Schizosaccharomyces pombe: one gene and its partner. The protein of the gene in region 2 interacts with the protein of the main gene of each other region in a pairwise test. Each region holds a gene or a part of one and is shown on either strand. Other genes may lie near its edges.

Evidence for each region. Proteins that work in one complex are often made in the same cells at the same time.
Region 1: the proteins of SPOM_SPBC14F5.10C (region 2) and gpc1 interact in a two-hybrid assay, tested with the Schizosaccharomyces pombe proteins (one large-scale study listed by BioGRID).

What each region holds. Positions count from the first base shown.
Region 1 is NC_003423.3:3,179,842-3,184,290, reverse strand, and holds gpc1 (transporter), read right to left. Parts: upstream 2,493-4,449; 5' UTR 2,287-2,492; coding exon 2,107-2,286; intron 2,056-2,106; coding exon 1,784-2,055; intron 1,708-1,783; coding exon 1,638-1,707; intron 1,600-1,637; coding exon 1,475-1,599; exon of another isoform or gene 1,432-1,474; coding exon 1,171-1,431; intron 1,123-1,170; coding exon 923-1,122; intron 874-922; coding exon 770-873; 3' UTR 616-769; downstream 1-615. Other genes in the region: SPOM_SPBC776.06C (Arf3/6 docking factor), read left to right, coding at 1-464, 520-615; sec2302 (COPII cargo receptor subunit Sec23b), read right to left, coding at 3,122-4,449. UniProt on the Schizosaccharomyces pombe protein: Glycerophosphocholine acyltransferase (GPCAT) that utilizes acyl-CoA to acylate glycero-3-phosphocholine (GPC), forming lysophosphatidylcholine (LPC).
Region 2 is NC_003423.3:4,174,972-4,180,121, forward strand, and holds SPOM_SPBC14F5.10C (ubiquitin-protein ligase E3), read right to left. Parts: upstream 3,088-5,150; 5' UTR 2,742-3,087; coding exon 1,281-2,741; 3' UTR 501-1,280; downstream 1-500. Other genes in the region: adenylosuccinate lyase Ade8, read right to left, coding at 1-476; sorting nexin Snx41, read right to left, coding at 3,639-5,111.

The DNA of each region.
Region 1 (4,449 bases), 1.0 Mb from region 2:
GAAAAGCGACAAGTTATGAAGCCTTGTTTTTGGAATCATCCCCGCTCAACCCATACTATAAGGATTACAAGTTTAAAGGATTTGGGTGGAGTTGGGATAATGACGATGAAAAGGTTAATGAACTTCTTTATTTAGCCCCAAAGTTTGAAGCTTGGAGACAAGCATCCACGTATAAAGACTATTGCTATCGGCTTCATTGTGCAAGCACCCCTGTACTTCGTTGTATGGATATTCAGTTTCACCTGGATAGACTAAGGAACTCGTCTCTCTCTACAACAGATGCTGCCGAAATATTTCTTGCTCTTGAGTCACACATTCGAACGGAAGAAGATGTAAATTATTTATTGTCTAATTGCCCCCTTCACTCAGGAGGCTTATCTGTAATTGCATTTGGACTTTATCATATATCTGACAAGGTTCGTAAAGCCGTCTCGAAATTGCTTAACAGAATTGAAACTCATAAGGTAAATTTCCTTTTCCATTGCTAATCCTAATTGGTATAACTAACTTATTTTTTAGTATGGAAAACTATTTTATATGGCCTTGAACAAGGTAGACATCTCTACTCATGTATACATCAACTCCCAGCATAAAAAGAAAAAAGATTCATTCTAAAAATTGTACATTATTTAACTTGATATAAATATAGGTCTTTTCGTAATTGTTAAGCTAAGTTCGTAATAATGTAGGAAATAAAAATGGAACAATCATAAGGAGTAAAGATCAGACATTTCGAAGCGTTAGTAGCTAAATGAGTTACTGCTATAAATTAACGGCTTAATGCAGAACTAGAACCAGAATTCGTCGGAGTTTCTGCCAATTGCTGTCGTAAAGCTTCTAATTCTTTTTGGAAACGTCTTCCAAATACATCAACTAAAATTGTTAAATTCCTAAAATTTTCATAAGTAACTTGATGACTTACTGTAATACGATGCGCCGTTCCAGACGGACCAGCCAAAAATTAGAGCTAGGAAAGCAGTAGAATATAATTTGTTGTTATACCAAAGAGAACACGGCAACATTGTTGTAATTGAATACAGGTACTGAATGATCATAAAAACAAATGGTTGCAAGTTTTGAGGAAGTTTCGCAACTGCACGCCCGAGCTTTGTTTTAGAATAACTTCTAGTATTAGCCATGAAAAGTTAAGTACACCGAATATGGACATACGCTTTTGACAACCATGTAAAAGAAGTTGGTCTGCCTTCCTGAATTTGTTTTTGTTTACCCACTTGGATAAAAAAATAATACCAAATCTGCCACAATGCATAAAAAAAAGAAGCAATCTCCACAGATGAAAGCAAATCGATCTTTTTAACTTTTAAAACAGCAGGAAAGCGATCTTTTAAATAAGACTTATTTGTTAGGTGCACAATTGTATGAAGAACCAAGGGCGGGAAAAAATGAATGAAGAGACTTGTAATTTTATCACTGAACATTAGTCAGGCATTCAAACTTCTTCTTAGGTACGTACATTGAATGAAACAATAAACTGTTTCTCCAAGCAACCACAGACCATGCCAAGGTACCATAGCTTATTGAGTATGACAGAATAAATAATCGCCGACTCTCCGGAAATATCCAAATGTAAACAAGAAGCTGACATTAGTTTCTTCACACTGCTGAAATAAACTTACCAGAATATTCCCCCAATAACAAAAATCAGCTATGAAGTATTCGTATCCTTTTCGTTGATACGTATAATACCTTATTTAAGTTAAAAATGATGGCATACGAGAATACGAGCCACGCTCATATCCATTAGAAATTATAAGCTACTTACCTCAAAGGTAAATAAACGAAAAGCTGTATAGTATACCATAGGTGCATTGATTCAGGAGCCATACCAACCAGCAAGGCAGTTAAAATGCAAGTGCTAACACCTAACGCGAAGGATAATTTATCGCGAAAACGAACAACTTTTCCGGAATTCCATTGTTCTTGAAACTTGTCGATCGATTTCCCTAGTCTTTCTTTTAACTTGTCGGTTTCATAGTTAATTTGTTTATGAATAGGCTGCAATTTATTTTTTTGACGTGATACTCCATGTTTCAACTACAGACATTAATAAAATACAAAAGGTGGTAATGTTATGTATGGACATACCTGTCCTTTCTTTTGATTATAATGCTTGTGTAGCCAAGAATAGACCCGATAAATGTTTGGTGCGTCAAATAAATCTGTAAAACCAACAGAATCATCTAATCCATGAAGTCCATAGTCATTGTCTTCCTCAAAGATCGAATATTCTGAATCAGTATTTTCATCAAATTCTAAATGATCCATTTTCCTTTATCAAAAAAGTAATTGGCGAAGCAACAAATCAACGCAACCGTATATCCAAAAATAAAGTAAGGAACCAAAAAATGGAAGCGTGATCTAGTTTGTAATCAACCGATTGAAGAAATACCAATGTTAATATTCCTATTAAATATTGTTCAATTTACTATGCTTTAATATTCTAGCTTTTGCAATAGGAAAAGAATTGTGTTGAGAAAGTTGCTGATTATCGGAATATGGTATACAATACGTGTTACAAGTAGTTATGACTATGATGCATATTTTCAATTGAACGGAACACGTTTATTCCAATAACCACCGAACAATAAAAGTATGTTATATTTAAAAAAACCTCTCTTTTATAAAACAAACATAGGCTCTTGCCCATTAACTAATTTTACACGTTTGTTGCTTAACTTAATACTACCATTACCATAATTTACTCCCAAATTAATCATAAATTCCCTGCGAATACGTACCAAGAATGCGAATTTTCAATACCTAAATTGGGGTAGGTTACTTTGCACGAAACATTAAATGCATTACATTCCGAGAACAAATTGAGTAGTTTATGCCTTTCTAAAAAAACTACATTATAAATACAGAAAATAAAAAAAGCGGTCTCCTTTTTTAAAAGATTTTACACCATTATCTGTATGAATAATATCAAAATATGGTGTTAACAAATGCTTGAACATTTTCTTCTAAAGATGGAATATATACTAATAGTTGATGTATTTAGGTTGCATCGACATTACAAAGCCATAGTTGATAGCTCCGCTATTACAAAGATGCAAATGTGTAATGATAGTTGTATAGACTCATCTTCAATATAGACAATTTAAGATATGACAGCCATTTTACGAAGATGGTCCATAAACTTTTGCAGGTTTACGTCGTCCGTTAAAACCGTTTCAGAATCCTTTGACATTGGTGAAAATTGAGAGGACTTGTTAAAAGAAACAGAAGGATTAATTCTTGATAGTAGGAATCTCGCTTGACTACCTCCCTGATCGCAAACAATAAATCGTGGAATAGGGAAGCGATCAGCCAGTAATTCAGTAACTTCAAGACGCGGAGCTAAAAGAAGCTCCTTCAAATTAACATACTCTGGTTGCTCTTGGTAACCAGCATTTCTCCATTGAGCAATAGTTGAACCATGGAAAATCAGTATATGAAAATAGGTGTCAAGTAGCAAAATCACATCTGGTTTAATGGAAACAGAATCCAGTAATACAGGTACCCCTTCAGGCTCGTTAAAGCTATAGGATTGAAGAGTGGGTTGTATCATAATTAAAGAATCATTGACATCCGCAACGTTCAACATATGACGATAGAAAGAAGTTTCATCGGGAGAATTATTAAAGATATGCAAAAATGGACTTCTCCTCAAGTGAAAAATAAACTGTGGATAAAGTGTAAAGTTTGGAAGTAAACGGAAACTGGAAGGGTCTTCTTTTCTATAGTCTGCAAAGTGTTGACAAAGCCTAATCAGGTTTCTATCAATCCATCTAGTTACGCTCATTTCATCCTCGGTTTGACATTTGAACAAAGCCATGCGAGCGACTATAGCAGCAGCAGCTTCCTGATCAAACGACTCCGAAATACTTTTTGCATTGCCGGTAATAAATGAGCGAGATATGGTAGTAACACGAAGTCGATAAGTTCCCGAAGAATGTTGGTAATATGTCAAAAACTGAATGAAAGCTTGAGTAGGCCTTTGCGAATTTGGATTCCCCATCTCTTTACCCAAATCGAAATATAGAGCGTATGAAGATTTAGGTGAAATCGCTGCCATTTTCCAAGAATTCGTTTTGCTTATGCCAATTTGAGTATCACTAATATTAGTACCTTTTTTATTTTCACCAACTCCATTTCCAATCATTCCACAGATAGTGAGGCCTTTAGACGTTAAGACTTCCAAATTCGCCATAAACCCCATTTTTAGATAACCGGAAGCATCAACACTAAATAATCTTTGAAAGCTCTGCTTAAAAATGGAAGTTGTAAATGAGTCGGATAGCACAATGGCACCACCAGTATTGTTAACAAGGTTTTCCATTTCCATTATACCTACTTGATCAAGGCAACCAGCAAATAAATCTAGAGCATGCCCTTGGTTGGAGAGGCGTTCAGCTAAAGAAGAATAGAACTTTTTAGATTTTTTGA
Region 2 (5,150 bases):
GGTTGATAATGTGTAAACCCAAGAGTAGGAATGTCTTTGTATCGCAAAGACCACTGGCTAAGACGATTGATAACGTTGACTAACTTAGGGATCAAAAGATCCATGGCGCTGCGTAAGAAAATCAAGTCAGCATTATCGGTTACAAAACAGCTAGTAGCACCCAAATGAATAATACCAGAAGCAGCAGGAGCAGCAAGACCATATGTATAGATGTGAGCCATAACATCGTGTCTCTGACGCTTCTCTTCCTTAGCAGCGATTTCAAATTCTGGAGCTGTAATTTTGACATGCGCTTTAAGTTGCTCAATAGCTTCATCAGTAATTTGAGTTAAACCGAGTTGCTTTTCAGCAATGGCGAGATTCAACCACAATTGTCTCCAAGTATTAATACGCATTTCTCTTGAAAAGAGATGAGACATTTCAGCAGAAGCATATCTTGCTGTCAATGGTGTACTATATGAACCATAATCCTCCATATTCGATAATCTTAAGCTCGCCAAAAAATTTCTACCTGTTGTGGTGAATGGACAGTGAGGAACCAACACTAAGTAGTGCTCTACAAATGCTCCACCTTGAGAAGACCATCAGATTTATTATTTTGTAATTTCCATATTAATTAGTTAACGCGCATGAAAAATCAAACGATAATTTATTGTGCCTCCATGCTTCATATGTAGTATTCACCTAACCCACCAAGCAAATCAATTGAAGATCAAGTATAGAGGAGTAAAGGTGCCTTTCCACATATGTTAGCAATATTACAAAAGGGGTTATAAATTTACTTTAACCAATGCCTAAGTAAGAAAAAGACAGAGACCACTTCGTCAATTGAAACTTGTATTCTTAAACTAGTGAATATGAAATGTGAACTAGTAAGAGCAGAAAATTAATTTCTCTATAATGCCAAAATCTACTTCATCAGCAGATAACGAAAACCAAAATTATTTTGGATTATACTATTAAAATATCTTCACAGTGAAAAAGTAATAAACAAAAAACCATCAAGAAAAATAAATATTAAAAGTTGCAAACATCAACTATTAAATAAAGTGTGAAACAAAAAGAGAATTCTTGCTGTATTGGCATGGGTGTTTTTAAATTGGTCAAAGAAATATTCATGACAATCAACCCCAGATATTCTCAGATGCCAAGAATTAAGTGCTCATTTGTATAGGGTAATTAGATGTATTTTGATCGTTTTCGAGATAACCTTTCAGTAAATCAAAGGCTATATTTTATGGCCCATACAAAGGGCGCGCGACTTCAACTACAATTAAAACTCAAGCAATGGTGCAAGCACTTCCAACACGATACCACCAACTTTCTTGAAGTTGAGTTAACCAAATAAGAACCAAAACCAGTCGATCGGTCGGGTTGTCAACTTGCAAAATGCGAGTTTTCTCAAGCTCTGAGATAGGAAGAAGATTGGTGATTTTGTAAGACAAGTCAGCAATTGACTGTCTAGCCTCCATTTTTATATCGATTAAAGGTACAACCCAATGAACATATGTTCGGCGGGCATTCATGTAAAAAGCATCTATTCTTTCAACTAATTCTTCATTACTTAGATTACCATACATTAATAGATATTCAGGCTCAGGAAATTGGAGTGGAGTGGCTCTCAAAGGAGTATCATAGTGCTTTTCAATTTTCACTCTCGGAAACAAACCATCAGCTCGAAAATCGATTATACGAACACAATATGAACCACGGGCTTCTACAAGACTTCTCCCATCGATCAAAGGCTCGACTTGGATAATTTCTAAAATTGTACCATACTCAGAACAAAAAAGACGTTGACCACGAGCATTTCGAAGCTCTCGATGCTCATTATGACCATCACTTCGTGCTCTTAAAGGCATTGCAATACAAAATCGCTTAGAAGTCTCCAGACATTTTTTGATCATGATGTGGTATCGCAGTTCAAAAATATGAAGGAATGTCGGCATTCTGGGATATGCAAGCATGCTAATAAATAACGGAAGCCAACTTTCCTGTTCCTTTTCTTCTTCCCATGATTTTTGACGTTCTAACCAATTATCTGGGTAAAAATCTCGCAAAAATGTGGTAATAGAGTGGCTTTTCGCATGTTCCAACACAACAGGAGATGGGAGCCCAAAACGACAAGTCGGGCATTGAGGAGACTGGGTTAGTGCTTGCATAAGGCAAGGGCCACAAAATGTATGTCCACATGGAGAAACAACTGGGTCATAAAGCATGCCAAAACAAATTTGACATTCCAATTCTCGAGAAACATTCTCTTGTAATAGGTCCTCCATATGTAAAAATTCAGCTACTGCAGTCTCATAAGAAGATGAGGAAGGTATTAAGTTATGAAAAGTGGGAGGCAGCAGAGTAATTTCAGTCAATGCAGAAGTACAAGGTGGTGACGAAGAAAGACAATCGTCATGACAAATTTCCTCCTTTAATTCCAGCGGTACCAAACTCTGCTGAGAAATTTGAAACTCTGTAGTTTTAATCAATTCAACCACTTTGGAAATGATCACATCTTTCACTTCGGTCTCTACAGAATAATGCGGTTTCTTATGGTTGTAAAAGCAACATCTTGAGGGACTAACTTTTCCAGAGCTTTCCGAAGAATATGCGTTTCGAAAGCATTTCCGACAGACTGTTCCTCCACAAGGAAGTGTGACAGGCCAGTCAGGCAAACAATTACAGCCCGGACAAATAAAGTAAGACCTTATTTTATTAAATAATACTCCTGGCCTTTCTTTTCTCATTTTTAATCGCTCGTAAAACTAATTCAGATGTCGATTGCTAATGTCAAGTAATTTTACACTCGTTAATTCCATGGATGACTCCAGAGAATACTAGAAACTTAAAAATATTGTTTTTTTTTTTTTAAGAAAGAATATGAACCTTCTTCAATTATTTCAGTCGAAAAAGGAAAACCTCATTAATTCATGAAATTACTGATGACATATCTTCATCACGCACAAACACTTGCTGTAGCTATCTATAAAATAAAGACTTATTAACAATTCTTAAAAGGATTTATTCCTTTAATTTATGTTAATAAAGCAATTCACAACAGAAAGACAAAGTGATGCTGTGTTGTAAACGGATGACAGCATAAATATGGTGACATTATATATATATATACATAATATAACGTTACATCCGTGTGAATTGCTAACATGATGATGGAAAAGTAAAAAAGACGAATATTGCAATTAAAAAGCTTTAATAATTAAAATAAATTAATAACTTTAATTGATAAAAGTACAGGAAGTAATTACCAGTTTATTATGGTGAAACGGCAAACAATTGTATACCGATATATTACATACTGATCGACATGTGACTCTTACTTTCAGTACAAATTTAAGATGATGGTCAATTAAGAAGATAGGCGTTCATATATTTCATTACAAATAATCATAAAAAAAACAGATTCATGAAGAAAAACCAAGCAAGGTGCTAATCAACCTGAAAGACAAGGCAATCTCAATGGCACGTTTATAAAAGGGTACCGGAATTCTCTAACCTTAGTAGGTCAAGCCTGAATGAAGTAAAACACCTAGGGGTAGAATATGCAGAATAGGAAGAAAAGCATGAAAGCAAATATTCAAACATTGTATTGAAAAAGAAACCCAACCAAATCTAGGACCAATAAATTATGATACATATGTTTTCAATGATTCTTGTACGGAATTCCAGATTCGCAAGTTCCGGTTGGCCCAATCTATATGACTATCGGTCAAACGGTTTAAAATTCTGTTTAAATCCTGACGATGCGTGTCTTGGTAGCGCTGGAACTCAAAGTTTACTCTGTCAGTTACAAATGCGACATCCTTAGTGGTAATCAAGAGCATGTCCGTAAGATGGGTAACGCTTTCTGCGGTCCTACCGATGTTGTTGTGTCGCGATACTTCCACATTATTATCAGTTAGACCATTCAATACAAAACGTATTCTATCAAATACATCACGAATCGTGCGCGGTAAAACAGTAACTGACGTCAAAGAGGTATCTTGTGATACTGTTTCAAAATCTTGACTTTGATTGTGCCGTAAATCCCGCAAACACTCTTCCGTTTGCTCTCCATTTCCATCATGATAGTTTTCCAAGGGCTGATCGGTTCCCATCAAGGGAACCGACGGCTCTTTTGATTCTTCATCATTAAATAGGGGATCTTCTTCGGGAATAGTTGAACGAGAAGTTTGAGCGTTATTTACACCCAAAGTAGCTTCCGATTCCCTATTGAGTATTACGTCCCCATCTACCTCACCAATAGCCTGTTGTAGACGAGCAGCATGTCTCTCCCTGCGCTCCAAAAGATGAAGAAAGCTCTTTTTTCTTGTGAGAAGCTCTTCGACCATTACCTGTTGAATAAACTTCATCTTTCTAAAGATAAAAATGTGACGCATATTTTTGGCGTCTTTTGAAAGCTCCTGAAGCGGTTCTATTACCGCGATTACAAAGTTGTGCATAAAGTCAATACTAGCAAGACATGTGTGATCATTTGCTTGTCCAACCTTTTCCAGTGCTGTCAAAAGCTTTCCCGACTCGGATAACGAAAGAGCGTTAAACATTGCCCCCAAAGTAGAGTGTGCGAGGCAATACTTAGAGTTTGATAAAACAATTTGATTAAATAAATTGGATTCCTCTTGTGCTACTATTGAATACTGCTGTAGCGTATCTTCAAGCATAAGAAAATTTTTCCCAACATCGTCATAATTGTCACGAGGTACAAGGGTTTTAGAGGGAATAGGCAGCTCCTTGTATAACTCAGCATTCTCTTTAGAAGAAGGATCAGCTGGTGGGGCTTTCAATAAATCCTTTGGGAGACAACTAATAGGAGGACTATGCAATACTTCCTTCCAAGATACATGTCGACTAAGAAATTTTCGAAAAACTTCTGAAAGGCCCAGAATAGGGTGTTGTGCTACCCTTCTCAAAAATAATTGTAATAATCTCTTTCTTTCTTCGAGCATACGAGACATTCGTTGGTTTTTGGTGACGTTTATCAAGTAATCCATGATTTTATGTTTATCAGGTAATGGAGGAACCAAGCAAGTAGGATACAGGCGGCTAAGTTGTACGCGCAAAGAAGCAAATTCTGAATATCGATGGTGTATTTCTGAGTCCTAAAAACCGTTAGTAATCAAACATTTCAATACTTCCAA